3 linked regions of the Nothobranchius furzeri genome follow. The protein of the gene in region 1 binds, or shares a complex with, the protein of each later gene. Links are inferred from orthologs where the notes say so. Each region holds a gene or a part of one and is shown on either strand. Other genes may lie near its edges. The genes, in order: pigf, pigo and pigg.

Region 1 (11,005 bases):
AGGTATTAAAATGTTATCGTAAAAAAAAAAAATTTTAAGACTTCAAAATTGTAATTGCGGTGGGAACAAATGATTTCTTATAGACACCTTTCTTGGCCAATGGAACTCTGTGCCTCCTTCCTGATGGAAGTAGCTGAAAATGTGGGTTCAATGGATGGGTTGAGTCTGCACTGATCAGGGTTGCCTTCCTGTGCACTGCTCGCTCGTGAAGAACAGAAAGTGGGATCTGAGGTGAGCCTGTAATTTTGCTGCCTAGTTTAACAATGCGAGAGAGTTGTGTTTTGTTATTAACTGCAAGAAAGTTATACCAAGCTGTAATATTTAAAGTTAGAATGGATTCAATCAGTTATTTGTATACAATTGTTAGGATGTCCTTGTTCACATTGAGTGCTCTTAGCTTCCTTAGCAGGTGGAGTCTTTGCAGCGCTTTCTTGTAGACACTGTTGCTGTGATTTGCAAAGGACAGGTGGTCATCAATTTCTGTTCCCAGATACCTGAATGACTGAACCTGCTCCACAGGCTGACCCTGTATGCTGAGGGGTTTGAACAGGGATGTGTCTGCCTCACTGGCTGCCCCACAGCACATTTCTTTAGTTTTTGAGATATTCAGCCCCAGGTGAAAGTCTTCAAATGTCTGGACCAGATTGCTGACCGCCTGCTGATATTTAGACAGGTCCTCCGACTGATGCCACCAGTGCCATGTCGTCTGCATACTTATACAGGGCCATTCTCTCACTATTCCACCGGGTGGTGATGTTAGCCCCAGGCGCCGGTTAGCTTCCAGCTAAAAGGCAACAGCACTCTCCTCCCAGTCCCACCCTGCTAAAAAGGGCCTGGAAAAGTTCCCCCACACATCAAAGTGATTTTTCATTTATGAGCTTTTATAACCTTGTTAATCAGGATAGTTGATTTGCTGCTGCACATAAACTGTCAATCAGAAGCTTTGCTAGCCAGTTATCTTAGTTCAATTTGTTAGCTTGTTATCAGAATCATAGTTGCAGTTTCATCATCTGAGCTGCATTTTAAGATCTAGGTAAACTTGTTCAATTTGGGGTTAAAAACAAACGTTTTCACATATTTTCCATGTAGTTTTTTGCCAGTTCCTCTTCTGAAAGGTAGACAATTGTTTTTCTCTTTCCCTCAGAAAATCTTAATATTCTCCTAGTTTGGCCCAGCACAGTTCACTTCCCAATAGCAGCAACAGCCTTATATCATAACCACATAAGTGGAGAAAATGCTCAGTAGCAATGAGAGAATTTGCTGTTCCATTTAAGTGATGTTAACTATTATTTAACATTTAAACTTATTTTCTGATATTTTTTTATTTATTCAAAAACCCTGGTAAGGGATGTTTTTCTGCATTTGGAGCATCAGAAAAAGTTTTATGGTGGAGGTGATGTTTTAAAGTCACTGAGAAACTGCATGCATGCAGTTTATTGTTTTGCTACTAATACAGTAGCAGGTGCAGCTGCATATTTTTGCAATAAAAATGTTATGTTGTAATGGAATTCATGCATTAGTTTTGTTTGCTTTGAACCCAGAGCAGACGTCACACGCCAGACGACATCAACACTGCATACTTTAGTATTTGTTCATTTATCGTGAGTAATATCGATATCGCAATATTAAACACTGTTATCGAATATCGCAGGTTTTTCTAATATCGTGCAGCCCTATTCCTAATTGTGAGTCTACCTAGGCATCATCATGAAGACATACCAAAGGCAGCAGGTTCAATGGGACACGTAGGCCTTGAAATCATTATAATAAAAAAGAAAACTTCAGCAAACTATAAAGATGATTTGTTTCACTGAGCATCTTCCATGTTTGATGAACCATCTGAAACATGGCCACTCCACTCTTTCATTTCCTGCAACTAAGACAGTTTGCTTCAATGTTCATCAAGATATGCCTTTTTAGATAAAGCCCTGTTTACATTTCATCATTCAGCCTAAATACAGTACAAACACACTGTATTCAAACAAACCTATCGAGAATGGCTCTAGATTATGCAAGTACAGTCTCTGTTGATGTGAGGCTGTAATTTTCTCCGGATTCTGACACTAAGACACACTGAAAAATGAAAACATCTGAGCAGAAAAGTCACAAGTTGAATTGTTCAACAACAGACAAACATTGCAGTTTCACAACTCGTCCCAGTTACTGTCACGTTTTCCTATAGGATGCAGATGGATTTGTCTCAGAGGAAAAGGATAATGTTGTTGGTGACATGATTACATGTGAAAAACTCAGCAGGGTGTTGAATAGAGAGCATGTGTGTGTGTGTTTTATGTAAAAGGGCTAATAGAAATGCTGTAGCGTTTTTGTGACACAAAACTAAATCTTCAGCACAATCACTTCATACCTTTCTTGTAAGCGCAGCCCTGGCAGTAGTGAGATCCAGCCTGATGAACTGAGCTTTTGCAGATCCTGCAGATTGCGAAGCCAGTCTTGCTGTAAGGGTCAAACCTGATGAAAATAATTGTTACACACATGACCAGTTATATCAGCTGACCACTTTGAATTAGTAATATACAACATTGAAAAACAGTAGCTAAACCGTTGTGTGACTTCTTCTGAGGAATAGTTCAGATAAGAGTTCATTATGATGGGCTTTTTAGGAAGATTTAAGAACAAGGTGTCACCTCATATTCTATACAAATCTTACAATCAGACTAAAAACCAAATGAGAGCTACTCCTTTTCTGTTACTAATAAGGTTCACCAGATATTGTCACCTATTCCCTTTAACTTGTATATGGACGATCTAAGTTTTATTTAACTAAGAGAGCATAAGAGTGGATGAATGGGGAAATAATGACCAATCATCTCATGACTGCTGAAGATTTGATGGTCTTTTACTCTTCAGAGCAGGTTTGCAACAGTTACTTAAGAGTGTGTTCCAGCTATGATGTAAAAATCAACTGTTATGATTGCAAGAAATGAAGAAGATCAGGATTTAAACGTGGTTCATAAAGTAAAATACTAAGGACAGATGATTAATGATGATTCATGTGGTGATTTGTGCCAATGCAGCAAAATGTATGCCCAAGCAAATATGGTGGTGAGAAAGTTTTATATGATAAGGTTGAACTTTAGTAAAATAACAGTTTTTGGTTCAATTTCAAGAAGGTAATTTTAAGATAAGTATATTAATGCGTTTAGAATATTTTCTCTGACTTCTCATATTTGTATTTACATTCATTAGATTGTTGTAATTAAAGTTTATTTTTTTCTATAAATTGTTTTTACTCACCTGGCTTTTTTGGATGTCAAAATCTTGTTCTCATTTAGCTTACGTCCTCCACTCTCTGACACAAAGAAAGAAGACAAACTTGTTAAACACGGACATCTAAATGTTACTATACCTATACTAATATAAAAAAAATAAACACCAATTAATTTATATTATGGCGTGATCAACCAAATGAGGACTAAACCTGCTAGTAACGTGAAAAAATATAGAAACAATGATTACATTTTCAAAAGTAACTTGTAAACAAGACAACAAGTCTCATATCTAGAATAATTAACAAACAGCAATTTATCATACTGATGGCAAAAAAACATTTCACTACGCATTCCTCGGGTCACCTGTTGTATTCCGTGCTCCGTCCTTCCAAGTGTCGGGGGTAATTACTTTTCCCAGTTTCTTCTCGCCTAAAATATAAAACAAAACAATTATGGAGGAAAATACAATAAGAACTAAACTATTGGCCTTCTAGTTTGCATTTGAGACTTTCGCTGACAAAAGTAACGTTCATCAGATTTTAAAATGAACAATACGTCTGAAAATCAGAAGCAAATGACATACATACACTTTTCACAGACCATCTTTGCGGTGTGTCGAATGACGCAGTAGAAATGATCGTTTGTTAGCTTTAGCTTGCTTTGCTAATGTAAACGTCCGGTCAGCTGAGGCATTTCAAATGACAGGTTTCATTGGTTGCTTTAACGAGTAACATCTTCTGTGATTGGTTAAAACAATTGAGTTACGCAACGCGAACTATAACTTACTACTTCCCGTTTATTTGCTTATAGGTTCTTCAAAATAAATGTTTGATAAAGTCAAGCACTTTTACCTTATTTAACCCAAGCGTATTCATTAGCAGAGATTGAGTAACAAGTAAAACATACACCTTTTTCACTTGAAATTGAAATAAACTGACCCGATAATCTATGATAATATGTTTCGAAACGGATGTTTTTTCATCATTCACCTAAGATGTCTGTGCGCAGTAGACTTTTACTGTGAAATTAAGCGGACGTTCTTACGTCTTCGTGTTTACGGAAACGCGGAAAAGAAATACATAGACCTGACAGTTTCCCAATGTTACCTTACGTTTTTTAGGTGTTTTATTTGACTTCCCCGCATCGTTATCGGGTTCTTGTTGTAAATAGTTCACGTCTTCATCATGTGGGACCATGAAATTAAAGCTATGGCGTCTACTCACGCGATTATCACCGCCTCGGTGTTCATGGCCACGGTCATCCCCGCGGTGTTTGTCCCGGGCTTCTCAGTGTATGGGACTCACCTGCTGTGGGTCTACGCGGTGTCCGGTACGGTGACCTGTGTCAGCGTCGCTATCTTCTGGCTGCTCGGCATCTCACCGCCCACCAAAAAGCACACACTGGGATACAAGGTGCCAAAACAACTAGATAATGTTTTTAAAGTGAATTGTTGATTATGTTCGACATATAAATGTATTATGTGATATGTGAAGGTATCTTATGAATTTTACAAAATGTATTCGTTTGTTATTATTAATATTATTATTATTTGGACAGGGAAATGGACATCAGTCAACTTGCTTTTTAATTAAATTTAATAGATGTGTGAAAATGAAGGTAAGTTTTGGATATTGTAAGGTGAGGTGATGAAAAAGTAGAAATTGTAAGCGTTTCTTGTTATGATCTATTTTATTTAGGTGTGAAAAAAGTAATTGTCTCTTAACACATTTCATATATTATTTGTTTAATTTTTTGTCCCACTTAAATGGTTCAGATCAAACAAATTTCAACATCAGGCAAAGAGAACTTGAGTAAACTAAACTAAATGCAGTTTTCAAAGGATTATGTCCTTTATGAAGGGAAGAGAGCTAACAAAACCATCCGAGTTTCATTTCATTTTAATTCGGTTCATCCATGATCTAAACGGCTCATCTTTAGCGCTAATCATCATCAGATGAGAGCTAGGGGACATTCTGGACAGGTCTCCAGTCATATAGAAGGACAAACAACCATTCAAACATACACTCTCCCACCTAGAGACTATTTAGAGTCATTATTGAACCCTTTTCATGGATGTGTCTGGTCCATGGGAGGAAGCAAGTTACTGGAGAAGGGCCACACAAGCATGGGGAGAACATCCTAACTCCACGCAGAAAGGCCATGCAGGCAGGATTCGAACCTGCAGCATTCTTGCTTTGAGGCAAATAAATTTAATTTTTTCATAAAGCGCCAGTTCACAACATAAGTCACCTCAAAGCGTACAAAGAAACAAAGGAAGTACCTCCACCTTTGTTAAATCGTGAATTACGTTTTGTTCATTTGCCTCTTCTAGAAATGACTTCAGAGAACATGTCTCATAAAGCAGGCAAAAAAATCTCAAGAAGCAACACATCAGGTCTCACTTGGTTAATGTCGAGGTCAGACTTCAGGATTTAATAATAAAAAGAGATGGGAAACAAAAATGGCCTCCATGTGAGAGTCCTATGATGACGACCTCAGCTGACAAAGAAGAACATAAAGGACCCTCTCACATTTGTTAAAAAAAGAATAATCCTTAAGACTTGTAGCAAATTATTCCATTTTGGACAGTGCGTTTCCAGGTTGGTTTAGACTATTTTTGTTAATAAATTAAACATTTAATTTCCCAGGTTATCTTTGTCCGATATTGAAAATGTGTTTGCTGATCTGAAACATTTTGGCGTGACAAAAAGGTGAAAACAAAGAAATCTGGAAGGAGCAGAATCCAAAGGCGTTCCCTGGCCATCCAAGAGACCCTCCAGCGTGTCCTGGATCTTCTTTTGGGTCTCCTCCCAGTTTGAAGTGCCCAGTAAACCTCACCAGGAGGCGTCCATGAGACATCCTAACTAGATGCCCAAGCCACCTCAACTGGTTTGTCTCGATGTGGAGGAGCAGCTGGTCTAACTCCGAACCCCTCCTGGATGACCGAGCTTCTCACCCGATCCCCAGTGGAGAAAACTCATTTCAGCCGCTTGTATATGTGATCTCGTTCTTTCGGTCACTACCCAAATCCCGTGACCATAGATGAGGGGAGGAACGTAGATCGACTGGTAAACTCGCCTTCCAGCTCAGCTCTCTCCACCACGACAGATCGGTACAACGCCCGCTGCACTGCAGACGTAGCACCAATCCGCCTATCGATCTCACGCTCCAGCTTTCCCTCACTCGTGAAAAAGACCTCGAAATACTTAAACTCCTCCACTTGAGGCGGGACCTCATCCCTGACCCGGAGAAGGCTACTCAAGAGCATGGTCTTGGATTTAGAAGCTGTTACTATTTCATTAAAACATCTTAGTATATCAAACCAAAGTTGTAAGTTAGGAAATGTATTTTTTTACACAATATTAATTATTTCACTTTGTTTATTATGACTTGTTATATTTTACTACTATTTTGATATTATTTTGCTATAAATGTTTTTTACTACTGTAGTTACTACGTTTTAGGCTGTAATAATGAACCTCATGTTTAACGTGTGTTGAATTGACAAATAAATAATCTTTATATTTTGCAAGATGTGCTTCTTTACATGCTTAAATGATCAACTTCTCTATAATTTATTGTTGGTCACATATTTTTTGAACCCATCCCTCACATTCACATTCTCAAATGCTCTAAGATTTTAGTTTTCATCCCAAAACATTTAGTTTTTAATCCGATCATGTCTTTCTGTCCTCAGCTGTCCAGGCTGTCTCGCTCCTGTTTGTACTTCTTCCTGTCGTGTTTGTTCTTCTACACGGTGGTGGTTCTCTATGGAGCTCCATTGATAGAGTGAGTAGCTGATTCTGCTCAAGTAACACACACACACACACATTGTTAAACAGTGTATTTAGAGCTTGTTTTCACTCTAGATTTATCTACAGCAGTGCTTCTCTTCTTCGGTTTTACTTAGCTGACACAGCTTGTGTTTAACTTTATACTTTTTAGATCTGCTTTAGAGACATTTTCACTTTCTGTCCTCCTGACCTCACTGACCACGCTGAGGTGCCTCTGTGTTCTTGGCCCTAACGTTCAGACCTGGATACGAGTGTTCAGTCGGCATGGGTAAGCCAAAACTCTCCTGTCATCATCTTTCCATCCCATTCCCACACTTTACTCTTGATCTGTCCCTGTCCTCAGAGCCATGTCAGTGTGGGACACCTGCCTGCAGATCACAGTGGCCTGCACCCTGATAGGAGCCTGGGTTGGAGCATTTCCAATTCCTTTGGACTGGGACAGGCCCTGGCAGGTCAGCAGCTCGCATAGAAAACCCACATGTACATGATTGAGCTTTTATTTTAATTTTATTTTTTTAATTTGAGATCAAACTTTCTTAAATACAATTTTTTTAAACAATTCCCTTTATTTTATCTTTGCAAAATCAACATGAGTCTTAACTTTCCTTTTAAAAATGTTCTTGAGTTTTTGCTTTTTCTCATTTAGTTACTGATGAGAAGGGAATCTGAATCACGCTGATGTGTGATCCAATTTGCAAGTGTTATTTTAAATATTGAGTGTGTTTAAGGGCTTGCAACACAAATAAAAAGACATACTGAAAATGTTATGACCCCAATAAGTGCAGTATCAGCATCCAGAAAATATGTTGTTGCTCTTTGCATGAAATGAAAATATTGTTGGAACTAGAGCTGATCTGAGCTTTGTGACATGCTGCGTTATCCTGCTGGAAGCAGATGGGTCCACTGTGGTCAACAACAAGACTCTGATTGGAACCAGTGGACTTTTGAGCTGCTGTTTTCTTTCCATCATCTCCAACCAGTCTGACCATTCTCCTCTGACGACAACACATTTGCATCTACACGATTGCTGCTCACTGGATATTTTCACTTTTCTCAACTCACTTTATATAAACCCTAGAGATGGTTGTAGGTGAAATTCCCAGGAGATCAGCAGTTTCTGAAACACTCAGACCAGCCAGTCTGGCACCAACTATCATGTCACCTTCTAAGTCACTTAAATCTCCTTTCTCCTCATTCTGATGGTCAGTTTGATCTGAAAGACCAAGTTCACTGAGAAACCATTGCTCACTACAGAGAAGTGTGTTTTTGGTTTAGCATCCAGGAGAGAGCAGAGCATGTCTCGGCTAGTAGAAGCTAACCGTTAGCATTAGCAACTTCATTACATGGCAGAACTTCTTCAGGCTTGCGTTATTTGTTGAGATAAAACATTAACGTTGCAAATCAAACAAAGTCAATGGTAGAGTCACGTTGCTGTTAGCCAATCAGAGGCGAGATGTCTGATATAAGACTCCAAATCTGTCTTCTTCTGCTCCTCCTCTGCTACGGCTCACTTCTACTTCCTAAAACAGGAGCGCCAGAGCTTTTTCCCAAAGAGATCGACTCACACTCGTTTATACTTGAGACCACTGCAAATGTGTTGAAAAAACATTAAGCAAGTCATCTTTACCAATTCTTAGTTCCGTGTTTAATGAGTTGTTGCCTTGTGATTAGCTGATTGTGTGTGTGTGTGTGTGTGTGTGTGTGTGTGTGTGGGTGTGTGTGTGTGTGTGTGTGTGTGTGTGTGTGTGTGTGTGTGTGTGTGTGTGTGTGTGTGTGTGTGTGTGTAAACAATCAATTGGACAGGTGAACCTAATAAGGTGTTTCTTTTGTAACATCTTTGATGCTTTCGCTCTACTTTCTTTAAATTTCTTATAATTATTGTACAACAGGCAGATTGAAGTGGTTGTTATGGAGACTATGTTCTATGTGCTGTAACTTAAGAAAAAGAGCCTTTTATTTAAAATAACACAGCTCCAGTCAGGGCATGCTCATAAGGATCCTTCACATCTGTATTGAGGTGTTTCATCACACTGGGTGCCAGTAAACGTGCCGTCCTTTCTTGCAGGTCTGGCCAGTTTCCTGCAGCCTTGGCGCTATGATTGGCTACCTGACCGGGCTTGTTTCTGCTCCCGCCTGGATCCACTATCATCGCAAACAGCTCACATACAAGTGCAAGTGACAGACAGACACATGACCTCCTGTCTGCGTTTGTCTGAATGTGTTCCTTTAGGTCTGTTATAACTTTTTACTGATTATTTATTGGAGAGCGTTTGCAGTGTTTTGAGTCTGTAAGGGATTTTGTAACAACACGAGAGGTTGTTTTGTACCTGTGCAGGCTGAACTTGTGTTTTTTTGACATGAATAAACCATTCCTTAATTAAACATGAACAGGGACTGGATTTATCTTATAATGCCATGGCTTTTGTTGGATGACTCGTCGTCGTCTTCCTCCGCTTATCCGGGTCCGGGTCGCGGGGGCAGCATCCCAACTAGGGAGCTCCAGACCGTCCTCTCCCCAGCCACCTCCACCAGCTCCTCCGGTAGGACCCCAAGGCGTTCCCGGACCAGATTGGAGATGCAACCTCTCCAACGTGTCCTGGGTCGACCCGGGGGCCTCCTGCCGGCAGGACATGCCCGAAACACCTCCCCAGGGAGGCGTCCAGGGGGCATCCTGACCAGATGCCCAAAGCACCTCAACTGACTCCTTTTGATCCGGAGGAGCAGCGGTTCTACTCCGAGTCCCTCCCGAATGTCCGCGCTCCTCACCCTATCTCTAAGGCTGAGCCCGGCCACCCTACGGAGGAAACTCATTTCGGCCGCTTGTATCCACGATCTCGTTCTTTCGGTCATTACCCAAAGCTCATGACCATAGGTGAGGATTGGGACGTAGGTCGACCGGTAAATCAAGAGGCTGGCTTTCTGGCTCACCTTTCTCTTCACCACAACAGATCAGCTCAGCGTCCGCATCACTGCAGATGCCGAACCAATCCGTCTGTCGATCTCCCGATCCCTCCTACCCTCACTCATGAACAAGACCCCGAGATACTTAAACTCCTCCACTTGAGGTAGGACCTCTCTCCCGACCCGGAGTTGGCAAGCCACCCTTTCTCGGTCAAGAACCATGGTCTCAGATTTGGAGGTGCTGATCCTCATCCCAGCCGCTTCACACTCGGCTGCGAACCTACCCAGCAAGAGCTGAAGGTCAGAGCTGGATGAAGCTAGGAGGACCACATCATCCGCAAAAAGCAGAGACGAGATTCTCCTGCCACCAAACTTGACACACTCCACACCACGGCTGTGCCTAGAAATTCTGTCCATAAAGGTAATGAACAGAACCGGTGACAAAGGGCAGATGGGGCACACGTGCATGTGTTTGCTGGTGAAAAATCTCAAACCAGTAGGTGGTGCTGTTGGGTCATGGCTTGTGTTTTGGTCTACCTAAAGAAACAAAAGCAAAGAAACACCATCAATAATGCGATTGGATGATTATTTATCATAAAATGTTAAAACTCCGCCCACACTGGTGAAGTCCTGCACCTGCAGCTGTCCACTGATTAATACATTTCCTCCTTAAACAGCCATTAATCTTGCTCAAATGCCATTAGTACAGTACAACAGCCCTCCTCCTGCTCCGCCTCATTCTCATTCCACCTTTTCACATCCCGGGGATACCATATTGATTCAGTCTCTTTTTCAGGACATTAATTTCCCCCCCCCTTTCAAGCCGCCCACGCCTCTTGTTCTCCCTCGCAGCCAGAATGAGACTTCCAATTTGTGTTCTGCAGTCAGAAGTTATAAATGACGGCTGCGGCTGCAACAGTCTAGACTCTTGTTTACAGCTTAAGTGATTACATCTGGGGGTATTTTTTTAAGTGCATCATCTTGAAATCCATTATTTAGTTTTTGTTAGGACTAATAGATGGTTTCAGTGCACAGCTTTCCAAATGCTCTCTGCTTGAACTCTTACATAAGATTGTTGCC
Region 2 (10,794 bases), on another chromosome or scaffold:
GGACACTCAACTATCTTCCTGCATCTACTTCTGGTAGCCCCGCCCCCAGACATATGTGAGCAATCAGAAGGCTGAATGTGACTCATTATGTTATGTTTGTTGTTTTCCCTGTGTGAAAAAACAAAACCACAAGAAAAAGCTACATTTAGGAACAGAATGGGACCAGAGGAGCTGGACTGGTGTGGAAACATCTCGCCTAAATTATTTTTTACATGCTAAAACAAAATTAAATCTACTCTTATAAAACACAAGGGTGGTATCAATCATTTCCTGACTGTGTGCAGGTTGAGGCGGAGCGTAAAAAGAGAGCCACGGTGCTGGAGTCTGAAGGGACAAGAGAGGCAGCCATTAATGTCGCCGAGGGTCGTAAGCAGGCCCAGATCCTGGCCTCCGAGGGAGAAAAAGCAGAACAGATCAATAAAGCAGCTGGTACTTAGAGTCCTCTTGGTCAGCTAAATTATTTAAACTATCCACACATTTCCACCGGGGCTCTATATGTAATGGATAATTGTGTTCCATCCAGGTGAGGCCCAAGCTGTTTTAGCTAAAGCTGAGGCAAAAGCAAAGGCCATCCGCATGCTGTCCGACGCTCTGGCTGAGCAAGTGAGTTTCTCCTTTTCTTTAATGTGACAGTGACTCCAGCTAAAGGCATTTTGTGGTGAATTTTGTTTTATTTTCTGTTGCACAGAATGGAAATGCAGCTGCGTCTCTGAGTGTGGCTGAACAGTACGTGTCTGCGTTCTCCAATCTGGCCAAAAGCTCAAACACCATCCTGCTGCCGTCGAACACGGGGGACATTAGTGGAATGGTCTCACAGGTGTGTGTGTGTGTGTGTGTGTGTGTGTGTGTGTGTGTGTGTGTGTGTGTGTGTGTGTGTGTGTGTGTGTGTGTGTGTGTGTGTGTGTTTTTTCAAAGCTCTGTGCATGAAGTACAAGCCACTGTGACTTCAATGTGTTCTCAACTTGTTCCCTTTCAGGCCATGACTATTTACAGCACGCTGGCCAAGACGAACCCAACAACATCTCCAGAAGTGGTGGAGAAGAAAATGCCGGATGTTCTAGACCAGCTGATTCCACCTGAAGAGGAGAGGACTCAGCAAATGAACTCAGAACATTAAATAACAAAGAACGGAGCCAGATGAAGCAGCTGAAGTCAAACGTTCTGATGGAATATTCAGGAAAAGCTTCAACCTTTACAAAGTCTGTGTGGTGGTGGTGTCCTGGACTAATCACGTTTTCATAGAGGATCCTCCCTGATCCTCCTCCTTCAGTTATGATTGGATTCTAAAGTTAAGAGCAGCCTTCAGAAAACTGATGGAAGTGTCGTCTCAGTTATGAATGCAACTTTTCCATGCTTTATTTTAGTACTGCAAACATTTCTCTTCCAAAAGATTTACATGAAATATAACACTGTCTACCTGTTTCTCCAGTTATTGTGTTTTAAAAAGCTGTTCTAGTTTCTATGGGATTTTAGTTGGAATGGTAGCTCAGATGAGCTGTTTGATTAAGAAAAAATAAATAAATATATATATAAATACATCTTTATTCTTTTTTTGCACTGAAATGTGTTTTACCTTTCAGCCTCTGTGGGACCAGGCTTTGAGCTCAACGCCACGTAGAAAGCTTATAAAGTCTGAATATTTATTATTTGGTCCATATTATGTTAAATCCAAACAGTTACAATGTATTTGTTCTGAGATAAGCTGATGCTAAAGTTTTTTTTTTTTACAATGAAATCAGTCAAATACCTCAGCTTGGAAGAGAAGAAGCAGATACAGCGATAACTGAATACTTTATAATCAGTGTATTTACTGAGTATAAAACACTTGGCAATTTGTGTAATTTACCCTCTAATGCACATGTGCCAGACACAAGGCCCGTGAGATAAATATCAAAAATATATTAAAGCTGGCCGGTTTTACAGCAAAGATTACAACTCCCATGATGCTTTGCTGTGTTAGCGTGGAGCTGAAGCGCCCCCTACTGTATGATTTTTCCGGTGTCTGCAGCTCCGCTGTCTCCGACAAACTAAACACTCCTCTCACTCAGTGCCGAGTTAACTCCGCTATTTGCCGATGTTGAAGCCCAGAGACGGAGATTTTAACCGCTCAGTAATGTGTTCACAACTGAAAGAAAAAGTTTTTCCAACTTGACAGAGCTGATATAACTCCAGCGAGCTGCGACAAGCTCAAATCAGCATGACTCTGTGACTGCTGTAGTTTTTATTTTTCCTCCCCGACACACATCAACGTGGTAAAGCTGCTGAGATGTTCTCCATGTTCACCAGCACAAACCTTTGTGAGCGCCTGTTGTCATCTAATGTTGTCATTACTATGATGAAAATGAACAAAACAACAGGAGTCTCCTCAGCTCAGATCAACCCCATGATGCAGGTAACTGGCTGGAACAGGTGAGCATCACAGTAAAACAGTGGAGCAAACTGAGCTCTAAATATTTTGGTTTTATGCTCTATTTCTGCTCCTAAACATGAAAGTTAACAGTTGAGATATTTCATTTTGATTTAAGATAAAATTATATTTTTATTTTGTTGTTGGCCAATCACAGGCGTAGATTTGGCATGGACGGAAGTGACATGTCCCTACCAATATCCAGTGATGACTAAATAGTCCGCACCAATAATATGACTGCCTCCGCTAAAAAAAACTGTCAAATGTCTCACGGGCCGCCCGTGAGAAAATATTTAACCTACAGTAAAACAGGAGTGGGAAAGTAGATGAACAGAATAGAAAATCCCTTTATTGTTCCTCAGTGGTAGATGTCACAGCAGCGATGGCACTTATTACAGGAGAAAAAAGGAGAATAAAAAAATAAGAAAAATGAATAAACAACAAGAAAACATAAATCCTGAATAGATTTAAAAAATGCTGAATGTACCACAAGTAATGAATACCACTGATGTGTTTTATTTAAAATTGACTTGCTCGTGTTTAATTTGGTTATTCCACATTCAGTGTTATTGCAAAATATGTTTGTTTCCAAATTAAAAGGTTCAAAATTGCATATATGTTGATAAAGAAAATGTGCAAAATTGACGTCACTTTTTCAAAAAATATTAACTTCGGCCCGTGACTTCGTCCCAGATTTTCATTTCGGCCCAGTGTGAATTTGAGTTTGACATCAAATGGATAAAATACGGAATAAAAATATGAAGTGATTTAAACTTTTTTTTAATAAAATGCCATTTAGAATCACAACCAACTTCACATCAATGCACGAGTTTAAAAAAATATTTAACAAATACATGGAGAAATACGTTTTATCATTCGTTTGATGTCTGCTTGGGTTCAAACCGCAGGAGGTTATAGCCCCAGCAAAGATGCCCTAACAATTTGCTCCCTAGTAACCTCCACCGGTGGTAGCCAAGGTGGTCCCTGACCAGCCTGGACATGTGTCCTCATTAGACAAGTATTTCTGTCAAATTGTTAAGACAAGATTGATGTCTAGAATTCCACTGCTCTCTGTATATTTGTAGTTATGTTGAACAACTGTTGCAATGTATATGGTCAATGACAATTTATAGCACATTGAAAACCCAAGATGACCGAAGCGCTTAAAAAATTATATATATATATATATATATATATATATATATAATTTTTATTGTGTGTGTAAAAACTGCCATGTCGTTTGTTTTATTGATTCTTTTTGGTTTATTTTCCACTTTAGGCTATTTTAACCCTTTCATGTATGAATTATGAAATCTTCAACCATGATTTTTTAACTATTTTTTTCCATTCATCTTTAGGTGTGAATGAAACAAATTTCAACAAATATTTTTGGAACATTTAATAATTTACACATAATTTATTACATGTCCACCTCAGTGGACAGCGTCCATTCTGAACATGAAATATGTTGACTTGACTTACTGAAGTCCAACTGGAGGGGCTCAATCCAAAAAGTCTTCAACAGCTGTGCTTAATAGCAAAAATAACAATTTTGAGTACCTGTCCGCTGAAGTGACCATTATGCATCAACGGGTTAAAATGTTTAACCCGAGTCCTCAAAAGAAGACACCCTCGGGTGTTACTGAAAAAGCAGTCCTCCGTGAATTTCCGCCGGGTTCCCTGCACGCTAGAGTTCCTACCTGTAATCTCGCTGTACCAGAAACAGTGAAGGACAATGTGTCTCTCCGTTCGCCGTCTACCTGAGATACCCGTACCACCTTGTTGTTGTTGTTAACACACACATTCACCTCCGGCCGAGAGAGGACGGAACCTCATCCGCTACAAGGTCAGTCCAAAGCGAGGCGAGCTAGCCTTGCTAACGTTAGCCACCTGATTATCGACAGTTTATTTTGCGTTACATTCACATTTCTCAGAACCTGGTTTGTAGTTGTTGCTAAAGTGCATTTACTTTTTTCACGTGAAGCAAAGCTAACTTCCGCTCTAACTTCTATCACCTGCCGGTTTAGGATGAAGGGAACGCGAGTGCTGTCCCTGCTCCTTTGGCTGTGTCTGATGTACTTCGTGGGCATCTACCTGTTCGTGGGCGGCTTCTTGCTGGTGAGGATGGAGGTGAACAGGACCAGCACCTGCGGGGACATACTCGAGCCTGGGGATGGGTCTGGGGACTTCTGCGGCTCCCAGCCGCGTTTCCGCAGGGCTGTCCTCATCATCATCGACGCCCTAAAGATCGACTTCGCCCGGTTTGACCCCAGTAACACGGCGCCGCGACCTTATGAGAACAAGATACCTGTGCTGGAGGAGACCCTCTCTTCTAGGCCTCTCCAAAGCCGTTTGTACACCTTCCGAGCAGACCCACCCACCACCACAATGCAGAGAATCAAGGGCTTCACCACCGGATCCTTGCCGACCTTTGTGGATGTGGGAAATAACTTTGCATCCAGCGCAATCTTGGAGGACAATCTTATCCAACAGTTTGGGAAAACTGGTGAGATTCGTTTTTTTTTTCCTTGCTTTTTACCAAACATCACAACACTATATTTACTGTGTCTTTGTGAAACGTGTCGGACCTCTCACAGGCAAACGAGTGGTGTTCATGGGCGATGACACTTGGGAGAGTCTGTTTCCCAAGAAGTTCCACCGCTCCCTGCCTTTTCCTTCTTTCAATGTCAAGGATCTGCACACAGTGGACAACGGGATACTGCAGCACCTCTACACAACTAGTATGTATTTACCACCAGAGCTTCACTTTCCACAGGTATTCAATGCCTCTATCATGCTTAATTTCTGTTCGCGCACTTGTTTATGTTGGTTTGAAACAGTGATGGGTGACGACTGGGATGTCCTGGTTGCCCATTTTCTCGGGGTAGATCACTGTGGTCACAGGTTTGGCCCTGACCACCCAGCCATGGCTGATAAGCTCACCCAGATGGACAGTGTCATCAGGTCAGATGATTAGTACAACAGGCTTTGATTTAGACAAAGACATGTTTATTCAGACAGTCCTACTAAGGGATAGACTCAGAAAATTCGCTGCTGCTTAAAATGAAGTATTTGGCTGGAATGTTTTTTTTTTTTTGTTAATAAAAATTGCTTTTAGAATAAATTAATGATGAAATTGCAGCAACTTCTGCTGATGCAGTTCCCCTAAAACTTAAACAATAACAACATGAGTAGAAATGAGAAATATAAACAAATACGTCTCGCAAAGTTATAAAAACAAGCTTAAGATGTAAACTAGCTGCTATGTGAGTGAGGATCTATTCATTTAACATGTCATCCATACATCTTCTCTCCTTTGTTTGCTTGGTGCTCATTCGTGCCCTCTGTCCAGGTCTGTGATCGACCGCCTGCAGAATGACACCCTCTTGGTGTTGATGGGAGATCACGGGATGACCGACACTGGAGATCACGGAGGGGAAAGTCAGAAGGAGACTGATGCTACCCTCTTTCTTTACAGTCCTTCCCCTATCTTCCCAGCACCACTGTCTCAGGTAGGTGTAGAAATTATGCTTTTTTTGGGTCAGTTTTAACCCAAAACTATCAAAGCAGGTCAAAAGGTCAAAAAAGGGTTAATCTTGACAACATATTAGAGACTATTATATAAATTATGACTGTGTTATGCAGGTTTATAAAAAAAATAAATCCGTTTAACTGCTTTGATGTATAAGTGCAGACAAGCATACTGAGAGTTCGCTGTAGAATATGTGAAGGCATGGCAGCTTTATTTGTATAGCACATGTCAGACACAGAGGCGATTCAATGTGCTTTTCAAGAACAGCATGAACATGAAAATCAACGTGACCGTGAGCAGGTCCAGTGCAGAAGGTGCAGCATAAACATTAATTTAACGACTGATGAAAATATGAATGTTTTCAATTTTGATTTAAAAGTTTTTAGAGTTTGGTCACATATGAGGTCACTAGGAAGCTGATTCCTTCTTTTTATAGCATAGCAGCTAAAAGCAGCTTCACCCTGTTTGGTTCTGACCCGAGGTTCTACCAGCTGATCGCTTCCTAAGGATCTCAGAGCCCTGCTGGGCGTTCATACATGAAGGATATCCATCATGCCCTTTTCTTTAGTTCTTTGTTGTACACAGAGTGATAAGAGTTTGTTACCTTTGCTGACATGTTTCTATGTTCACTGTCGCCTTTGTCAGAACAACTGCTGGATTTTGATGGCGTCACTTCCTTTTAGTTGTGGGATGAAGTGACGCCATCAACATCCGGTGGTTGCTCTGATGAAGGCGTTGGTAAAACACTGAAACATGTCAGCAAAGGTAACAACAAACCCTGAAAGTACTTTGAAATAGATTGTGTAGTTTACTGGTAACCAGTGTAGAGATTTAAGAACAGGAGTGATGTGCTCGGTTCTCTTGGTTCTTGTTAAGACTCTAGCAGCAGCGTTCTGAATAAGCTGCAGTTGCTTCACAGCTTTTTTGGGAAGACCAGAACAAAAGACCATGAAGATTTAACTTAAAACTCAGTCAGGACTTAATGGGATGTTTTTGGCCTTTTAAAGGTTATTTTTATGAGAAAGTTCATTTCTACCCAGTTAGTTCATAGCTTTTCTTTGTTTCATGTATTTAGATATTTGTCTAGTATTTTTAAACTTTTATTTACATTCATTTTTTTTTCTACAAGTTTCCCTGATATTTTCTTAAAGTGTAAAACTAATTAGATTTTCCGCTAACTGTAAGAAAAAAAATTCTATTTTTATTAATTTCTTGTTTGGAACCTCCCTTTTCTCTCGGCTGCACATTGATATGAGACATTGTTCAGATATAACCATGCTTTGTTGTGATTTGACAGACGGAACCAGATGTGGTTCCACAGACTGACCTGGTGCCCACCCTGGCTCTGCTGCTGGGGGTTCCCATCCCCTACAGCAGTGTGGGGCAGGTCCTCCTCCCATTATTCTCTCCACATGGGCAGACAGGAAGTGCAGTTGGGGGTCTCAGCCAGCTGGAGGCGCTGTGGATCAATGCAAAACAGGTAGTTTAGGTAGAAAAAAGCTTACTTTATAAATCTTGAAGTCCCCAAACAGAGAAGATCCCTTTTGTTCTCCTCACTTAAAGACAAATTAACTGTTGTGTTTTGTTTGTTTTTCCTCTTTCTCTTCTGTTTCTAAAGGTTAACCGTTTCCTGGAGACATACTCCAGCATGGCCAAAGATATCCCACCAGAAAGCCTCTCCCAGCTGCAGCAGGAATTTTCCCGCCTGTCCTCTGAGTACCTCCTCACAGCTAGAGAGAGCCGATTGCCCTCCTCTCACCTGGTCTCTGCTCTGCAGGCCTACCTCACCTCCGTCAGAGACATCTGCCGAGCCACCTGGGCTCGATTCAATCCGGTCAAGATGGCGGCAGGTTTAGTCCTCCTGGCGTCTGTCTGCCTCGTGTGTTTCTTGATGTCAGAACTCTCCCCGGCACTGATGAGGGAAAAAACTGCTGGACTGCTGGCTCCGCTTGTTGTTGCGCTCGCTGTGGGGGCTTGTGCTGCAGCTGCCCAGCTGCTCACACGGGGCTACGTGGAGACAGCATGGTGCCTAGCGGCTGGTGCCTTCAGCTCTGAAATTCTCTTCTTCTGGAGAGTGTGTAGACTCAGCCCCCCCGCCGTGACAAAGAACGGAGCTAAAGCCTCTAAGCTCTCCAGGTGGCTGGTCCTGCGTCGCCTCCTCACTCCTCCTCTCATGGTGCCGCTCCTCCGATGTGCCTCCCTGCTCTCAGACAGTTACGTGATTGCTGAAGGCCGTGTCATAACCTTTCTAGTGCTCTCTCTGGTCATCTACATTCCTATTCATCTCAACTGGAATGGCTTACTTCTGCCCCCAAGTCCCGATCCTCTGAAGTCTGCTGGGCTGCTGCCGTCCCCAGCCTTGTCACCATCAATAGTGAGGAAAGAGAGTGGGATCCTCTTAGCTTGCCTTGGAGTTCTCATTGGCAGCATGTACCTCTCCCTCTCCTTCCATGGGTGCAGAGAAGAGCAGGGCTTTTGCCAGCCGTCGCCGTTCCTGTCTCCTCTGTCACGGTTGCAGGACAGCCAGCTGAAGAATCTGTACTACATCCTCTCTGTCATCTCTCTCGGTGTGTTTGCGTATCTGCTGAGACACTGCCTGTGCCACTATGGTAATCTGAACTCCTCGGGTGGCGCGGTGTTCACGGCTCGCTGGATCCTTCCCCTGCTCTCGGTTTGCCTGGCACTCCACTGGGCGGTTAGCGCCACTCCAGAGGACAGCTTTAGGAAGCTGTCCGAGCTGATCCGGCTGGCCCAGCTGGCCCTGCCGAGGGCGGCCTTCTGTCTCCTGGGACTCGGGCTGTGTCTCATCTGGCTTGACCCTCTTACTGTGTTTGTGAAGGCCCGGGCTACTTCTTCATCCAGAAGTTCAGCCCCTGCTCTGCCTCGCTACAGAGCGAGCACTGGCATCAGCCCCCAAGCTGAGCTGCGCCACCTGATCCCTCAGATTTACCATCGCATGCGACGTTCCCTGGAAGATGGAGAGCTCAGCGGAGGCATTGAGGCAGACAACAGGCCCACTGTGGAGGCCTACGGACTGGGAACCGTCTACTCTGCCCCTGTGCTGCTGTTCTGGGGAATGCTGGGAGTTGGACTATTGCTGTTGCACCCAGAGGGCATGGCTCTGTCTTTCCTCCTGCTTCTGCTAGAAATGGGCGCTCTGCTGCACATTCACGCCTCCTCCGTAAATCTTAGTGGTGCACACGGAGCTTCTACGGGTACAGTCTCACCTAAACACTTAGTTTTTAATTCACAGCACTGCCCATTGGTAAAAAAAAAAAAAATCTGCTCTCCTCTGTCTGACTGTGTCCCCTAGGTGGTTTTACCGTGCCCTGGGCTCCAATAGTGGTCTGGTCTCTCGCTGCTACCCAGTTCTTCCATGCCACCGGTCACCTACCCACCTTTCCCTCCATCCAGTGGGGTGCTGCCTTTGTGGGGTTTCCTGACGGACACACAGGCACCTTTTTACCTGCATTGCTGGTTTCCCTCAACACCTTTGCTTCACACATCCTATTTGCAGGTAATCCTATAAAAAGTCATGTAAAATTGTAAGAAAATTGACCAAAGTATTCCAGCAAGCATTATTTTTGTCCTCAGTGGGGTGTCCATTGCTGCTGCTGTGGCCCTTGGTGCGTGAGGTGCGTGGGAGCAGAGGTGGGAGAGCTTGTGGGGAAGAAGGTGAGGATGCCGTCATGGAGATGAGACTGAGAGAAAACCCAGAGCAGTTCAGCTCCGCTCTTCTGCAGCTGTCGGCACGCTACCTCTTCATCCATGGAGTGCAGGTTTGTTCCCAGGCAGCGAAGACAAATTTAAAGGTGCAATTTGTAAGAAGTCTACTGGGGCGGGGGGTTGTAGCCGTGGCGCTGGAGTTTCAGCCGTGGCACAGCCTATATTTCTCTATATGTGTATATTTTTTAGTAAATATCCAGCATGACATCACACCTTTAAGTGTCTCAACTCTCTTCACAGGTCTTTTCTTCAGTCTGTGCTGCTGCTATTCTCCGGAGACACCTAATGGTGTGGAAGGTTTTTGCACCCAAGTAAGTGCCTGAATTGCTTTTCCATCTCATATAAACTCATCAGCAGCACTTGGCTCCTCAGAGTTGGAGTATAGCGTGACTTATTATGTGTACATCTCAGCTCTGGGATCTTGTTGAGATCATTCAAACATCCCAGTGTCCCCTTCTGTCCTTCCAGGTTGATGTTTGAAGCGTTGGGGTTCCTGGTAAGCAGCACCGTCCTGCTGATTGGAGTCACGTTAGTGCTGAGAGTGGACATGGCGGTGAGCCGCTGGTTTAAAAGACTCATCCCAGATGCAGCCAGGTAGCGACGGTGCTACCGCTGGAATCCACCAGAGCTCACTGTGCCAGGCAAACAAAAAAACAGACGTGTGTGACTGGGGCCCTTTTTACAAAAGGAGAAACGATAAAACAGGATTGCCATGGATCATGAGGATCCTCAAGCTTCTTGAGGGACTCTGAAGGGCTTCAGAACAAGTGCTGAGGCCTTTGATTAAGAGTTTTGGATTAAACTGTCTCATAAAAAGTGAGCCAAGCCTTTTCAAGGCCAGCGTTGCATGAGTTATGTGTGGTTGAGTAAACGGCTTTTAACGAATATCTTCTGTTCTTTTCTAACTTATGAAATTCTTACCCAAGCCAATTGGTTTTGCATGTAGCTAACTGTGCAAAAGTCAGAACACTTCTAGGGTAAGCTGTGCCAGTCTTGGAAATGCCCGATACAGACGTACTTGTTACAATTTAAAAATTTCCTTTAAAGTCAAATTGGTCACATTTTCCATGTTTAAGCAGTTTTCCCATTTTACAATTGAGGCATATGATCAACACACCAATGGAGAACG
Region 3 (10,317 bases), on another chromosome or scaffold:
TTTTGTTTCATATTAAAGTAGTAAAAGCCAAGTAAAGTCATTTAAAAATCAAAAATAAGAATAAAAGAAAGGGTGTTTATTTAAAATGGTTAAGTAAAAACAAACCAACCGCTCATATTCTATCTTATAACAACAAAATTGTAGTCAACTAAAACATCCATCCATCCATTTTCCTCTGCTTATCCGGAGTCGGGTCACGTGGGCAGCAGTAAGAAGAGAGGCCCAGATTTCCTTGTCCCCAGCCACTTGGGCCAGCTCCTCCAGGAGAATCCCAAGGCGCTTCCTGGCCAGCCATGAGACATAGTCCCTCCAGCGTGTCCTGGGTCTTCCTTTAGGGCTCTTCCTGGTTGGACGTGCCCAGAAAAGCGTCCAGGAGGCATCCTGACCAGATGCCCGAGCCACCTCAATTGGCTCCTCTGGATGTGGAGGAGCAGCTGGTCTACTCCGAGCCCCTCCTGGATGAGCGAGCTTCTCACCCTATCTCTAAGAAAGAGCCAAGCCACCCTGCGGAGAAAACTTATTTCAGCTGCTTGTATCCGCGATCTCGTTCTATTGGTCACTACCCAAAGCTCATGACCATAGGTTAGGGTAGGAATGTAGATTAACCGGTAAATCGAGAGCTTAGGCATCTCGTTCAGCTCTCTCTTCACCACGACAGAGCGGTACAACGCCCGCATCACTGCAGACGCAGCACCAATTCAACTGTCGATCTCATGCTCCATTTTTCCCCCACTCGTGAACAAGACCCCAAGATACTTCAACCTCTACTTGAGGCAAAACCTGGAGAAAGCATTTTACCCTTTTTCTGACTGAAGACAATGGTCTCAGATTTAGCGGAGCTGATTCTCTGTCATTTGAGGCCCTTTCTAAAATCATTACTGTAAAAATTATTTTTGATCTTTACATTACTTGCCTCAAGTGGAGGTTGAAGTATCAAAAAGAGCACACGTCACCCCTCTGTTCATTGAGCTCCACTGGCTACCGCTAGCAGCACGCATCAAATTCAAATTGCTAACACTAGCATACAAAGTCCGAGACGGTACGGCTCCCATCTACCTGAATCCTCTTGCAAAGGCTTACGTCTCGGCCCGGCCGCTCCGGTCATCACAGGATGGTCGGCTAGCGGTGCCTACACCACGCTCAGGACTATCCAGACTCTTCTCATGCATCGTTCCACAAATGTGGAATGACCTTCCAAGCACTACCAGAACAGGAGCTTCCTTTTCAATTTTCAAGAAACTCCTGAAGACCCTGCTCTTCAGAGAGCATCTTCTAAACTAGCACCCTCCCTGCACCTGCCCCCCCCCCCCCCTCTCTACTGTCCTCTCCTTGTTCCCTCCTCTCCATGACTGATGTCAAGTTGTTGTTATTGTTGTTGTTGTTAGCCTCAAGGGCAACATGCCAATTATCACTAGTAAGTCGCTTTGGACAAAAGCGTCTGCTAAATACATAAACATAAACATAAACTAGACGACACACTAATCCACTTCATATCTATCATTCCATTCATATCTTGTCATGTATAATCGTTAGTTTTGGGAAAAGAAATAAATTCATTTTATAAACTATATACTGACTCTGTCTGAATTAATACGAAGTGTGTTTATGGTCCCTGAATACGTAAAGTAACTATAATCTTCTGATTAACATTGGAAGATCAATCAGATTGATATTTCATATTTATATGGAATTATCACATCTTATTGGTCATCTCAATAAATATGTAGTAAATCCTCAACACTGATAATAATGGAGGCATACGTTTTTAATGCACTTCCTACCCTGCTGTTGTGTGTTGCCCTCATTCTACCATTTCTCGGGTTTAGTCTCTTGAAGGGGGGAGGGATGCTCGTCATTTTTTAAGAATTGCAAAGTCACTAATGATGTTTATTACAGCATTGGCCCATTTTATTAATTGCATTAGTTTTTAATTGAACATTGGTTTCCTAAATCAAAAATATAAACTTGTAGAGCTCATTTTATAGTGAAAAAAATGTGCTGAAGTGAAATGTTTAGTTTCGATAATCTGGCCACAGGGGGTGGTGGCGGTCTGAGTGACCTTTCATTAACCCTGTAAAGGGTCATTTATGCACATACTGAATCAAGAAAGTCACCATGTTCAGATTAAAAATATGAAAAAGTTGCATCGTATCCCTTTAAACTGTCCTGATCGTCTTTTGTATTTGTAAGGGAAAATCTATTCTCCAGTCGTCTAGTCCCACAGCGAGCTCACTGCTGTAACCTGCAGGTAGTGTATGTAACGACTCAGCCCCTCCCCGTCATTGAGATAAACATGGGCCATGACGCATGTCTGTGTGCTGCAGTAGAATGCTGCTGAAATTGGCCGAACTTTATCTGAACCAACTTCACAGTCAATCAAACCATTTACAAACAAGTGTGCAGCTGGAAAATCTCCAGTGTGTAGAATGGGATGGACTCATCCGTAAGAGACAAGCTGCAGCTGATGAGACAACTCATGGTCAGTCTGAGCAGGAAATGGCTGTTTTATACTAAATAGTAATGTGGTGGATAATCAGATGAAAAGGTAATTCTGTCCACCATAACAAGCAGCCTGTAAACAAACAGTGTGAACAGATAATAAATCAGCTGAGTCATGTTTCTGTTTATAGTCTTTCTGACCAGATCTGGCTTAAGTGGTTGGAATCAGGATGTTCTGTTAGGAAGTTCATGGGTCATTTAATTGATGTCACTGGATGTGTTTTTCAATTATAAACAGAGTGGTTTGAATTACCTGCAATATTTAATAAATCTACTTATCCCTCTGGCAACTGTGATGGCAAAGTACAGAGGTGTGTGTATGTGCAAGTACGTGAGTAGTAGAAGGTAAGGAGGTGAGTAGGAACGAGTTCCTCAGACTCTACCCAAAAATACAACATGGCAAGAAATTATGGTTTCACTTCCAATTTAGTCAACACAAGGCCTGGGGCGATAACAGATTTTGCTGGACGATATATTGTCCAACAAATTATTGACGATAAACGATATTATTGTCGACATTATCGAGACCAAAATAACCACTTATGTAATGTTAATATATCATAATAATGAAAGTACACACTTTAAAATGCAACAATAAAATCTTTATTTAACATTGGAATGTCCAGAACCAGAACTTCCAAGTAATTAAATAAAACAAACAAAAAAAATCAATAAATAAAAAAGGACTTTCAGTCTCTGTTAGAAAACATTGCAGCAAAAACAATAAAATAGAACCTGTCTGTCCAAAAAATAATAATAAATAAACAATGGCCTATCCAGTGTCAACAACCAAAACTGCACTTCAATAATGATAATAAATATTAATAATAGAATTGCACATTTTTTTACCTCGATATATTGAGGATTTTATTTATAAAGCACTTTACAAGCAAAAGTGCGACTCCAAATCTTTTACAGATTTAAAATGACCCCAAATTCCTGTAACAGTTTAAAAGCATCAACAGTCTCACACACACACACACACACACACACACACACACACACACACACACACACACACACACTCAGACACACACACAATAACGTCAGTAAAAATAATATTTAGCTGAGTCCAGATGAGCCAAGTAAGGTAAGGCAAGGAAACGCCATCAGAGGAGCCATCTGCCCCGGCACCATCAGGTCAGTCACAGCAACCAAGTCAGTGCGCCCAGAGGAGGGAGGCCATAGACCCCCACCACCACTCAAGCAATACCTCTAGAGCGCCCAGGCAGCATTACTTGACCGCCGCCCTGGGGCAGAGGGCCCCCACAAAGGAAGCACTGGATTAAAATGAGTTAAAATATAAAAATAAAAGAGCAAAATAAATGATAAAAGTAAGAACATAAATAATACATAAAAATCATATGGAGAGTAAAATATTATTATAATTAAACAATGAAACAATGCTTGAATATCATCATGTAAAACGTGCTCAGCAAGTAATAAAATATAATCATCCAAAATGAGAAATAAAACTATAGTCAATAATTAGTTAAAAGCTAATCTAAGCGCAGTGGACGTGAGGGTTCATATGGTAAAAGCAATTCTGAGAGATAAAAAGGCCCAAGACCATTAAGACACTTAAAAACCATTAAAAGAACCTTACAATCGATCCTGAAACATACAGGGAGCCAATGCGGTGATTCTGAAACTGGTGTAACGTGCTCCCACCTCCTAGTCTGCGTCAGGGCACGTGCTGCCGAATTTTGTAGAAGTTGTAAACCTGAGATGCTCTTTTTGGGAAAATCAGAAAGCAGGGCATTACAGTAGTCAATTCTACTGGTGATACAAGCATCAGTGTCTCGTGTTGGCCACAGAGAGAATGGGCGGACTCTGGCGATGTTCTTTAGATGATTAAAACCTTAATTTTCATCTATCGTACGATTAATTGATTTATTGATTATCGTCCCAGCCCTAGACAAAACTAAAAGTGGTAAAATGGTAAATGGCTTGTATTTGGTATAGCGCCTTCTAGAGTCCTATAACCCCCCAAGGTGCTTTACAACACAGTCATTCACCCATTCACATGCTGGTGGTGATGAGCTAAGATGTAGCCACAGCTGCCTTGGGGCGCACTGACAGAGGCGAGGCTGCCAAGCACTGGCGCCACCGGTCTCTCTGACCACCACCAGCAGGCAGGGGGGGTTAAGTGTCTTGCCCAAGGACACAACAACAGCAACAAACTGAGCAGGGCTCGAACCTGCAACTTTCCAATTACAGGGCGAGTACTTAACTCCTGTGCCACCATACAGAGTTTTGTTACCAAGCCCTGTGGAACATTAGTTAAGGTTTATTGTGTTGTGTTTGTCGTTGCACTAGTAGCTTGCAACGTTCACCACTAGGATTGAGTCTTGGCTGAAAGAAAACCAAAGTTGTACCCATTTCTACTTAGCACTGGTTTTACGTGTGAACAAGTGATTGTTAAACTTTGTGCAGTGTAGATCTAACGCTGTTGAGATTTTTGTGTTTTATTGCTGTCTAGAAAACCTCAACCAGAGAATCAGAAATAGTTATACACTCTAATTCAACTAGTTTGTACTATTGTACTATGATGTATTAGCCTGGCTAACCATCCTGTGTATGTAGTGAGACTTGAACTGGAGGCTGAAATGCTCCCTTGGATACTTCTGATCATATAAGAGCACACAGACCTGCGCTGTTCCACTCGGGGGTAACGAAGCATCAGATGCCCACCTGGCTTCTATATTTGCCCAGATAGCAGTCTGACGGAATTCATTAGAATCCGTCTCCAAAGAGACCCTGTCCTTCGGTCCACAAGAACCCAAAAGTTTATTTTAAAGGTCTTCCGACGTTCATACATTAGGCTTTGAATGGATTAAAACTTTTATTTGAATCAAAACGACAGTTTGGTTGTATTTTCTTTCCATTTTCCTTTGAATAATAAGTCTCATTGTCCTGTTTCCTTCTCCTTCCACCCTCTCCTCTGAAGAACACCGGTGGTGATTGGTCACTCTCAGAGTTGGACGTCTTGCTGCTGGCAGGAACCATCGGTCACACGCTCAGCTTGGCGGCGAGTAGTTTTGTGGAAGAGGAGCATCAGACCTGGTACTTCCTCCTCAACACACTCTGCCTCGCAGTCTTTCAGGACGTCTGCCGAAAATACTTCAGAGAGCAGCGGGGCTTTGGAGAGGAAGAGGAGCTTTTCCTCCCTTCCAAGGACAGCCATCCGTCTTCTCATCACAAATCTGAAGTGAGCTCAGAGAAGTGGCTGGCTCTGGCCACGCCCCCGTTCACTCTGGTGTGTTGCAGACTGCTGCGTTCCCTCAACCAAACCGGAGTTCAGTGGGCTCATCTTCCAGATGTTGGACACTGGCTGAACAGGTTAGCAATATCAATATTACTGTGTTTTCACGTGTCCTTTCTGTTTAGACAGGTAGAGCGGGTTGTCCAGTAATCGGAAGGTTGAAGGTTCGATCCCAGCTTTGATCAGAGAATGCTGCTGTTGTGTCTTTGAGCAAGACACTTAACCCACTTCGCCTGCTGGTGGTGGTCACTAACAGAAAAGTGACTTTTCATAGTCTAAATGTTTGCGTACCTTATAAAAAGTTCTGTTTTGGTAGCATCATTTCTTGCAAGTTTCATTTTACTTGCCAGAGAAATCATGATGTCTTCCTAGGAGTTGGAGGTTTAAGTAGGAGCCTGGTGATGTCGTGGTTACTCTCATGTCAGAGTGAGTGGTATCAGCAAGCACAGGTCCTTGAGACCTGCACACAGAGACTCGAAAACAAATTTCTCACCAAAACATTTTGAATGTTTGTGTGTGAGAAACTCGTCAGCATCATACAGAACTAAAGCTTGGTTTATGCTTGACACATTCACTTTCCGCGCGGTGATGCGGCTCGCGGATGGAACGCGCTTCACAACTCGCAGCGTTTATGGTTCATGCGGCTCGTCTCTGCGGTGAGCCAATATTCTCCCAAACTGTAGGGGGCAGCATGGAGCTCTACAGGATGCATCCAACACTACACCATAGTAGAAGTAGAAATTACTGTTTACAACACGGCATTCCAGCATTTTTAACAGCGTCCTCGTCTTTTCCGACAGTGCGAGCTATTTCTCTCCAAGAATTATTAACAACATGTTGATCACGGTGATCTCTGAGAGCTGAATCATACAAATGTCTGTATTTACCAACCTCTGCCGTGCTAGTTCTTGCCGGTCCGCCATGTTTTTCCGCGTCCGTCCGTCCGCGTGGTTAAAAATTTTCCAAGGTGCGCGTTGCGGAAATTCTGGGCCGTGCGGAGACGCGGTGGAGGGGTGTGGTTGTTAAAATGACGCAACTTTTCCTTGCGGAGCCGTGCGGACCTCGCGGACGCGTCAAGCATAAACAACCTTAATTCTGTAGACGGGCCCCTTTCCAAGCCCCTACATGGCTTTTGTTTCAGAAACTGTCCGGACCTGTTTTGTGTGAATCTGGATACATCCAGAGGGCTGTCAAATATCTTTATTTTTGAGTATTTGGTGAGCAAATAGCCACTTCATTGACTGACTTGAGACGTGATGATGCATAATAAACAGTTGGATGTAAAACACAAGGTGTATGATTTGGTTGTAACCACATTTTAAAAGTTTAAATCGCTGTCTGCTGATGCTGAAACATTTCACATTTGTTTCTCTGAGCAGCAGACAGGAGCCCCCACTTAACATTTCAACAATGGAATGAAGCCGTCTGATTGCTCAGACTGTAGGAAAACTGATTTCTCACAAAAACCGGAACTCTTCCGCAGCCATTAATATTCCGACAGCAGCACAGGGCTGGGGATTTTGGTTTGTTCTTGAACATGTATCACATTGTGGAATAGAGATGTGGATTCTGACCTTTTCTTGGACCAGCGTTGCCCTTTCTTCCCGCCTGCTCTGCCTGCTGCTTGGGTAATGAGATCCAGGTAGCCTTGTGCCTCGCCGTGTCTTCAAGTTTCCGATGACTGCCTGATCCCACTAATGGCTAAACGCACAGCTTCTGCTCAACTTTGATGCGTCCTTTGTGGTCTCATTATTTCCTGTCCAAAATGTCTTACCGTAAACAATTTAAAATCTGTCCTTTTCTAGACATAATGGACAGGCACGGTTTCATCTCAGTGAATGGTCGGCTTAGTAAACACCCCTCTTTTGTTTTGAATGAAGATGATGATGATGATGATGATGGTGATGATGATGAATTATTGCACATCCTGTGTTTATTTATTGAATCCGGTGACAATGGTGTGTACAACATTTTTGATAAGCGCATAAATTTAATGTTAACGAGCAAGCCACTCCCAAATCATAAACTATATAAATGAGTGTCTGACCGTGCTGCAGACTCGTGAAGTCAATAATTTGGCACTTTAGTGCATCTTAGTTAAAATTTAAATGTTCTGCCTAAATCTGTCAGTGTTGCACCCTCTTTAGGTAAAAACTCTGCACTGCATTTGAATTTAAATCTGCCACTGGTACACTATGACATTAGCTGGTACATTATGATGTCACAATGTCATTGTGAGCCTGTGTGTGTATTTGTTAGCAGCTCCGCCCTCTGAGTCTACCAGGCAACAGCATTTGTTGCATTTTAGAAACAGGAAGTGGGAGTGGAGTAAGACTCTGGTAGGGGGTGACTTGCTCTTTAAAAATGTACAACGCATACTTTATTTATTTTTTTATCAACTTATAATTCTTGTCTGTTGTCTTTTCTTGCAGCTCTGATCACAAGACGGTGCTCTCGCTGCTGTCTGCTTTCTGTTTGGTTCTGATCTACCTCCTGGTTCAAAGACGATGTTCACTAGTCTCCAAGTTCGCCCTGGCCCTTGGACTTCTGGGTGTCTACAGCTACCGGGCAGCTGTTGGCAATGTCTTGTTTCCCTGGCAACAATCCACTCGAACTACGTCCAAGTAAGTTGTGCGAAGCACCGGAACTTGATTTCACTCGCTGCAACAGCGGGTCAAGACTCGGTCTCTCGACAGTGAAGTGATTTAAAGTGTGGTGGTGCTCTGTGATGTAAATGAGCACATGGGCTGTAATGTGTGTGTCATCTGGGACAAACACCAAGACCAAATAATTAACTTTGATGATAAGCTGCTCAACAGTTCATTATTTTTTCTTTTCTCCACGCCTACCTGCAGTAAATCTCCAGTGTCTTATAAAAGTGACGCAGTTTTAAATATAAATGATTACACTGAAAAGGGGCATCACACCGGCTGACTGTTGATTTAAACCAATAGGAAATGCCTCACCATTGACAGCTTTTTATTCCGACTAATCTTTTCGTCTAAGCCCAGTTTCTTCTCTCTGATGGATGTGAAGTTACATCCTTGCAACATAGCAGGAAGCTGCTTGGTTAGAGCTGAGGGTTGGAGCAGCGTTGTAGCACACCATCCAATCTAGTCTAGGTATACATTTTTCTGTTTTCCTGCCAGAATACTAAATCGCTAGAAGTATTGGGACAGTGCAGCAAATCAATGCATTCAAGGACTGCATTGGAGGTGTGGACCAAAATGTACATCTAAATGATTTAAGCTGCATTCAAATATACAATAAATCCCTTGAAGGTGAAGTGTGTGAAAATAAAGATGACATCATCTGGTCAAATTTGCTAACTGCAAGCTACCTCTCACTCCTGTTTGGTGAGATTCATGGCTGTAGGCAGTTACGCATCAGCACCAGAAGATTAGAGGTGACAAGCAAAGATGAGTCATACGCAGTAAGTTTATAAGTAGTTGTGATATCTGGTGTAGGCCCTATTGGGTGCTTTTACGGAAGAGAGCACTTACTCATCTTACTATGGTATTATGCCTCCGGTGTGTTTACCGTCAGGTAGGGTTGTCACGGTGTGAACGGTGTGGCCAAAATTGTCACGGTTTTTGCTCCTATCTGATTTTTTTTTAATGTGTTATATTTCCAGACAACTAAATAAACCGTCTGTCAGGAAAATATTGTCCTCAGTTTGCGTTTAAATTTTGTTTTGTAATTATGTGTTTTATTTGTTTAACTTTAAAATACCAAAATTTGCCCTTAGCATTTAATTTTTTTTGTCTATTTGAGGTCATCATTTAAAAAATATGAGATCAGATGATACTCAGTACTCAAGTGGCCTTCTAATCAATTACCTTTTCATCCTTGCTAGAGTGATTTCTTGGAGAGCCCCATCTATGGATCAGGGGCTTTCAGACATTTTTTTCTTGCACGTGCTGGCAACAGGATAGCCGTCTTCCATCGGCAGTCCCTCGGAATTCTTCAAATATCCAAAATATGCCCTTATTTTTTTTTTCTTCTTCTTTCTTTTGGGGGGGGGAGCTGGCTCCTTGGAGGGCTTTAGTCCAACCAGCCATTCCTCCCTGTCCCCACACGTTACTCCTCCTGCTCCCTCACATCATCACACAAACATGCACATAGGACCTTGGGGGGGGGTGGGCAAGTCAGGGAGTGCGGGTATGGACCCCATTTCCGCATTCCTGTGGCAACCTGCCCCCCAATTTTATTTGCACCTTAAACACTTCCACTGACGACATTCCACACAAACACACACTTAGGGCCTTGGGAGTGAGCACATTCAATGGCATTCGGCAGGGGGATATTTCAGCCTCATCCCGAGTGCCGGTGCCCACTTCCAATTTTAAACTGCACTTAGACACCGAGGGCTGAGGGCGCAAGTGGGGTGGTGCGGTGGCATCAACTGGCGTAGGCCAGATGATGCCACCGCACTGCCCACTCACCTCAGCCATGGAATACACCTCATCAACATGCACTAACACCATATTGGAGCAGGCGGAGGGAGACTAGGGGTCTTAGCACACCTCTGTTGTCGCTTGGCTTCCCGGGGC

Evidence for each region.
Region 2: pigf (region 1) and pigo share a complex: the UniProt entries of both Homo sapiens proteins name them as parts of the ethanolamine phosphate transferase 3 complex. The link is inferred for Nothobranchius furzeri from reciprocal best matches to the Homo sapiens genes PIGF and PIGO.
Region 3: pigf (region 1) and pigg share a complex: the UniProt entries of both Homo sapiens proteins name them as parts of the ethanolamine phosphate transferase 2 complex. The link is inferred for Nothobranchius furzeri from reciprocal best matches to the Homo sapiens genes PIGF and PIGG.

Annotation. Positions count from the first base shown.
Region 1 is NC_091756.1:43,771,415-43,782,419, forward strand, and holds pigf (phosphatidylinositol-glycan biosynthesis class F protein), read left to right. Parts: upstream 1-4,277; 5' UTR 4,278-4,414; coding exon 4,415-4,642; intron 4,643-6,927; coding exon 6,928-7,019; intron 7,020-7,175; coding exon 7,176-7,292; intron 7,293-7,367; coding exon 7,368-7,476; intron 7,477-9,089; coding exon 9,090-9,203; 3' UTR 9,204-9,412; downstream 9,413-11,005. Other genes in the region: cript (cysteine-rich PDZ-binding protein), read right to left, coding at 2,366-2,469, 3,256-3,310, 3,594-3,659, 3,818-3,833.
Region 2 is NC_091746.1:43,301,500-43,312,293, reverse strand, and holds pigo (GPI ethanolamine phosphate transferase 3), read left to right. Parts: upstream 1-4,086; 5' UTR 4,087-4,253; intron 4,254-4,434; 5' UTR 4,435-4,435; coding exon 4,436-4,913; intron 4,914-5,004; coding exon 5,005-5,148; intron 5,149-5,247; coding exon 5,248-5,371; intron 5,372-5,759; coding exon 5,760-5,919; intron 5,920-7,236; coding exon 7,237-7,419; intron 7,420-7,557; coding exon 7,558-9,154; intron 9,155-9,252; coding exon 9,253-9,456; intron 9,457-9,533; coding exon 9,534-9,718; intron 9,719-9,905; coding exon 9,906-9,976; intron 9,977-10,133; coding exon 10,134-10,263; 3' UTR 10,264-10,431; downstream 10,432-10,794. Other genes in the region: stoml2 (stomatin-like protein 2, mitochondrial), read left to right, coding at 285-429, 524-603, 689-817, 977-1,117.
Region 3 is NC_091741.1:29,979,806-29,990,122, reverse strand, and holds part of pigg (GPI ethanolamine phosphate transferase 2), read left to right. Parts: intron 1-5,449; coding exon 5,450-5,841; intron 5,842-8,196; coding exon 8,197-8,388; intron 8,389-10,317.